Regions from separate parts of the Mus musculus genome. Here region 2 is reported to be linked to region 1. Evidence: microRNA targets listed by miRTarBase, many of them from high-throughput screens and not tested one by one. Region 1 holds a microRNA gene; the other region holds the end of a gene's coding sequence.
What was found. The annotated mature microRNA mmu-miR-1958 reads UAGGAAAGUGGAAGCAGUAAGU and lies in region 1 at 1,225-1,246, shown strand. An mRNA with a match to its seed (bases 2 to 7 or 8) in the 3' UTR can be bound and repressed. Matches are read on the target gene's strand: a 7mer-m8 pairs with bases 2 to 8, a 7mer-A1 pairs with bases 2 to 7 and ends in A, and an 8mer does both.

Region 2: miRTarBase lists Il5ra as a target of mmu-miR-1958. Seed matches in the 3' UTR shown: 7mer-A1 at 950-956, 7mer-m8 at 1,152-1,158, 7mer-A1 at 1,904-1,910 and 7mer-m8 at 2,233-2,239.

What each region holds. Positions count from the first base shown.
Region 1 is chr4:48,211,228-48,214,379 of GRCm38, reverse strand. It overlaps Mir1958 (microRNA 1958), which reads left to right and starts at 1,165; the gene lies at 1,165-1,261. Erp44 (endoplasmic reticulum protein 44) reads left to right here. Exons shown (of 12, transcript NM_029572.3): 7 at 2,673-2,730.
Region 2 is chr6:106,709,928-106,712,927 of GRCm38, reverse strand. Il5ra (interleukin 5 receptor, alpha) reads left to right here. Exons shown (of 13, transcript NM_008370.2): 13 at 463-2,553. The coding sequence ends at 546. Among named protein-coding and RNA genes, the nearest start is that of Il5ra, 38 kb to the left of the region's middle.

The sequences.
Region 1 (3,152 bases):
GTTTTGTTTTGTTTTTTGGTTTTTTTTGCAGAATTTAGGAAACGTTGGTTATAGCTCTCTCTTGAAAGTCTGATAGATGTCTGCTTTGAATCCACCTGGACTGGGCCTTTTAGACTTAGAAGTTTATTACAGTTTCAATTAACTCCTTTCTTGTGGGTCTCTTTTGGTTATTGGTGTCATCTTGGTTTAATTTTAATATTTTGGATGAATCAAAATATTCATCTATTTTTTTCATATTTTGCAACTTAATGAAGTAGAGTTTTAAAAAGTATTCCCTTTTAATATTCTGTATTTCTTTGATATCTGATGTAATGTTCCCTGCTCATTTCTGATTCTGTTAACTTGGGTTATTGCTTTCTTTCTTCTGGTTAAGTGGGCCAAGAGTCTGTAGATCTTGCTTATCATTGCAAAGAACCAGCTATTAGAGTAACTGATCTGTTATATTTTCTTTGTTTCTATATCATTGACGTCTGCTTTGATTTCATTTTTTCTGTGACCCACTTATTTAATTCCAATTTCTTAGACTATCACACATGACTGCTGCGTTTACATTTCTACCCAGCCTTCTCCTACCAACTCCTCCTGTCCCTCTACTCCCTCTCAAATTCACAACCTCTGCTTCTTTAATTATTGTTCCATATATATATATATATATATGTATAAATACATATACACATATACATATATCTACACACAAACACATACATCTTGCTGAATCCATTTTATGTGTATTTGTTTAGGGACGACCACTTGAGACTAGATAACGTGCCAGTGAGCTCATCCTAGCAAAGGCTCATCCTTCCTCTCTCAACAGCCGTCAATCAATTGCCTTTAGTCTTCTTCTAGGGTGGAGCCTTGTGATATTTCTCCATTCATGTTGCAGTGTCAATTGATGTTGCCATTGTGCAAGTCTTGTTTATGCAGACATATTGTTGAGATTTCATGGGTACAGCTTCCCTGCCATGTAAGAAGACACAGTCACCCAACAGAGCTTCCAAGTCCTCGGGCTCTTGCAGTCTTTCTGCCCCCTTCTTATACTGTGTTCAGTGAGCTACTTTAGTGTAGGGGTTGTATTGGAGATGTATCAACTAGCTTTGGTACTTCATGGCCAGTTTTTTTCTGAATTTTAACCAGTTGTGGATTTCTGTAATGGTCTTAGTGATGAGCCTAGAAGAGAACTTACTGCTTCCACTTTCCTATAGTTTAATTTCTAACTGCATTCTATAGGAAAGTGGAAGCAGTAAGTTCTCTTCTAGGTTCCGTGACCTCACCAGCTGTGGATAGCTGGCTAGGTTGCAGTACAAAACATAGATTCCTTCCTATTATGCAGGTCGTAAGTCTAGTTATACAGCTTTGTTTACTAGGGAGTAGATGCCGCTGTTACACACTTGGGGATGTCTTGCCTTGCTTGGTATTGTGTGGTTTGTAGGCTTTATAGCTAGGTGGGGCTGTTGCATCCTCCCTTGGCGATTACATAGCACCTTCGGGTACTGTGAGAGCAGGTCCTCAGGGAGGGGGCTTTTAGGTCAGTTGCAGCTTGATTCCTCCAAGACCTGTATCTAAAGTATAGTGTCTTCAGCAACAGGATCATCCTTTGAAGTTCTAAGGAGCAACCAAAGACAGAAGCCCATATTATTTAGGTCCTCTCTCAACTCAACTCCTATCAACAACTAGAAGGAAGGTGTTCCAAGCCTGACAAACGGAGTTTTTGTTAGATAGTTATGGCTTTTGGAGAGAGCATCACACCCAGTGGTATAATTTCATTAGGACTTCATATATACACACATATATTTATGTACATATAAAAGTATATTGGCTCTTAAGCAAACATAAGATAATGTTTCCTACAGCTTTTAGACGTCTCAGTGTCCTCTCCCTCTTCCTGTTGGCTCTTTCTCAGTATTGCCCTCCATCCCCTCTTCCCTTTTCCCATTTCCCTCTTCGTAGCACCTGTGTCTCACAGTTCCCTACTAGAGCTCCTTCCTTATATTCCACTCTCCGTCTAGGTTAGCACCACTTGCTTCCTTAGAGATTGAAGATGTGTCGGTGTTTATTTAATCCTCAAGTTATGTACAGGAAGAGAAACTTACTCATTTGACCTAGGGTTTTCTGTAGGACTCTCTCACCAAATAGTTATTGTACTAGGTAACTATTTGTTATACAAGACCACATATTTGCATGCCAGATACTGTACTAGGCCTAGGAAATGGCAAGTGTCCAAGTGTACAGACATGCTTTCCAAAAACTTTCTATGATGTAGATTATCTCAATTCAATATCATTTTAGAATTTGCAAGTTTAAAAAGTAAGAAGTATAAAGTTAATATATTTTATTGATCTCTGTGGACAAATTAATGTGCTTAATCTATAGATGAAAATCAATATATAGTCAAAATTGCTATCATGCTGACCCTGCCAATCCAGACTTATAAATTCTAATACCAAAGTGGCTGACTGAAACATTATTTTAAAAAGTCTGTTTCATCTTAGTTTGCCTTTAAATGTATGCTTGTCTTGCTATTGTACAGTTTTGTGGATGGGACAGATAATGAACAAGAATATATTTCATGTTTTTATAATTCATGCACTGCAATGATTATGAAGTCTGTTTTATTAAAGTACATTGTTTTTAGTGTTTTCCCTAACACATTATTTTTTTTTCCCTCTTATTAGAGATCTTTCAAAACCAGAAAGGTACAACGGAGACAATGTAATCTACAAACCACCCGGGGTGAGTTTCTGTTTTACAGACTGCTTAAGACACCATAGTTAATACAATTATAATATAAGCAATAGCTTTGTTTTAAATGCTGGAAGAATCATTGATGAATTCTTAACTTTTTAAGTACTAGGGATTGAACCAAAGGCTTGTGTATGCCAGGCAAGTGCTCCGACACTTCTACATTCTGGCCCCTTACTGTGTTTGAGTCAGCGTCTCACTAAGGTGCCAGGCTTGCCTTGAACTTGAGATCCTTCTGCCTCAGCCTCCAGAGAGGTGGGGATGAAAGGCTTGTCCTGCCATGACTGAATGATGTGACTTTGAAACCATCATGGTCTAGTAATCCGTATTTCAGAGTGACGCAGTGTTCACAGAATCCCGAAGGTACAGGCCTGCAGTGACAGTGCAGGCCCCTGACTTCTCTCCCTGTCTCT
Region 2 (3,000 bases), not on the chromosome of region 1:
TTCCAATTATTCCCTTTTTTTGGATTGGAATGGGTGTTGAAAATGTGCTGGATGAGTACATGATGATATAAAGAAAAAAATCTACATACCTATGCAAGGGCTAGGGCAATATATCTCAATGGCAGAAGACCCTCAACAACAATAATAATACATTTTATAAAAATAAATCTGTGTGTCCCTGTTACTTCATCACAATTGTAAAAGAAAGCTTTATGCTTCAAGAAAGGCTGAGAAAATGGAATAGGGTATATTTAGGAGATAAGTTTATAGCTACAGTTTCTTCTTCCCACTTGACTTTTCCTAGTTTCTAAACAGACTACTGTTCTTTAAAAGTTACTTCAAACCAACTGTGAAAAAAACAAAAGAAAAAAAAAGAAAAAAAGAAAAGAAAAGAAAGAAAAAAAGAAATCAAAGATGAAATGTTCCCTAAAAGACCTGTAAGGAAGTTGCTTTGTTTTGCAGAAACCTTCGAATGAAACCAAAATTGAAGTTGTACATTGTGTGGAAGAGGTTGGATTTGAAGTCATGGGAAATTCCACGTTTTGATGGCATTTTGCCATTCTGAAATGAACTCATACAGGACTCCGTGATAAGAGCAAGGACTGCTATTTCTTGGCAAGGAGGTATTTCAAATGAACACTCAGAGCCAGGCGGTGGTGGAGCTCGCCTTTAATACCAGCACCTGGGATGCACAGATGGGAGGATTTCTGAGTTCGAGGCCAGCTTGGTCTATAAAGTGAGTTCCAGGACAGCCAGAGCTACACAGAGAAACCCTGTCTCGAAAAAACAAACAAACAAACAAACAAAAATGAACACTCAGTTTGAATGCAAGTCACCAACCCATCCAGACATGAGTCACCAATGTCCCATTTCATAAAGTGTGCATGCCTCACTCAAACCTCCTTGCTCACAGCATAGCACCAGACTCACCCAGAGCATGGGCCTTTGGTTTCCTACCCAGAGTACCATGTTATACCAGTGTGTCTTTGAAAGTTGCTTGACTTACCTTGAACTTTTTGCACAGGAGACAGTTTTTTTAAGCTAATGTCACACATGTTTACTTTGGGTTAAGTTGCCAGTGGTAGCACTCAGCTACAGTGACAGGAGGAAAGGATAGAACTCATTGAGAGTGAACCCAAATTCAAGACTGTCTTTCCTGAAGCAAGTGGGAGACACAATTTCATGGTGCTTTTCCCCTTTGAGTTCTAGAATAGTTTTCTTTCTAGAACTGTGCCTGTGTCTTAAAGCATAAGGTAACATTGAGGCAAAAACAAAGACTATGTCCCACATGTCCCTGTGTTCCATAGGCCTGTTCAAGGAAATGTCTAAGCCAAAGTAAGTTTAAGTCACCGTGCCTGGGGTGAAAAAGATGGTTCAGATGACGAAGAAGCATGAGGGCCTGAGATTGATCAACCAGCATCAAGAAACAACAACAACAACAGCAGCAGCAACAACAAAACAGTGCAAGAAGCACATTCCTATAACCCCAGAGTTGGGAGATAAAGACAAGAGGATCCATGGGAATTGTAGTTCAACCAGTTTAGCCAATTATGTTTTCTCTAGGTTCACTGAGAGAAATGGTCTTAAAAATTTAAGGTGGAGAGTGACTAGGCAGATCCTCTGATACTGACTTCTGCCCTAAATATGCATACACATGTACACACACAACACAAAGACACCATTCCCTATTGAGAGAGAAGACAGAAGCTTGTTCAAGGATTAAATTCTTCAAGGCTTCTAGGTACTCTGGAAATGACCTGAGAAAGACATTGAAAATAATTCTGCTTTGGAGGTGATTGCTGGATCTAGAATGTACTTCCCAAAGAGATGTTTGATGAAAGAGCCTTCATGGCAACCTGTTGGTCAACTCATGCTTAGTCAATTCTAATCTCTTAAATTAGGGTTTCCTATACATATTACAATTGTATAAAAATGTATTCTCTAAATATCTTCATTAATGAAGCTGTATCTATAGGTCTTTTTGATGGGCTGAACATAGAAGCAAACACACTTATGTGTTGGGAAGAGGAATAAGTAGTGATAGAGGGACCTAGTGGTGGTTATTTTACATAGTCCTGAAGAGCTAAAGACAATGAAAGAAGAAATGGTACTCACAAGAGAGAGAGCTATGTCGGGGTCCTGTCAGCCAAATCTTGCTAGTATATGCAATAGTGTCTGGGTTTGGTGGTTGTATATGGGATGGATCCCTGGGTGGGGCAGTCTCTGGATGGTCTTTCCTTCCATCACAGCTCTGAAATTTGTCTCTGTAACTCCTTCCATGAGTATTTTGTTCCCCATTCTAAGAAGCAGTGAAGTATCCACACTTTGGTCTTCCTTCTTCTTGAGTTTCATGTGTTTTGCAAATTGTGTGCCTGGCAAATACAGAAGCAGATGCTCACAGTCATCTATTGGATGAAACACAGGGCCCCTAATGAAGGAGCCAGAGAAAGTACCCAAGGAGCTAAAAGGGTCTGCAACCCTATAGCAGGAACAACAATATGAACTACCCAGCAACCCTCAGAAATGTAAATGAAGAAAATATCTAATAAAAAATGCCTTAAAAAAAAGAAAAGGTACTCAAAATCCACAACATAACTTACTTTTTATGTACTTTATAGAGATGGTTTAGTCAGGTTTCATAATCTGGGTGAAGTGCACATGGAGTACAAAACATCCCTTGCATGGCTCTTATGCATTAACATAGAACCATCCACCATTCTGTGCTCAGAATGAAAGGTACAGCAGTCATGGACAACTGCTAATATTAGATCTTTTCTAAAGGGTCAGATCACCATACCAGATTCTCTGTACTGTCTCTCTGCTCTTTACAAGTCTGTACTGTGTCACTGGCATACACATTACTGCCTACCCCCATTAATGATACAGTAAATGTGGAAAAGAAAGGTCAATTGCTAGGAAAGGGTACAGTAATAAGACTCAGAGGAGCTCAGTAACACAGAGGAGATTATCACATGAAAGTTGAAGTTGACTTTAGGGGTC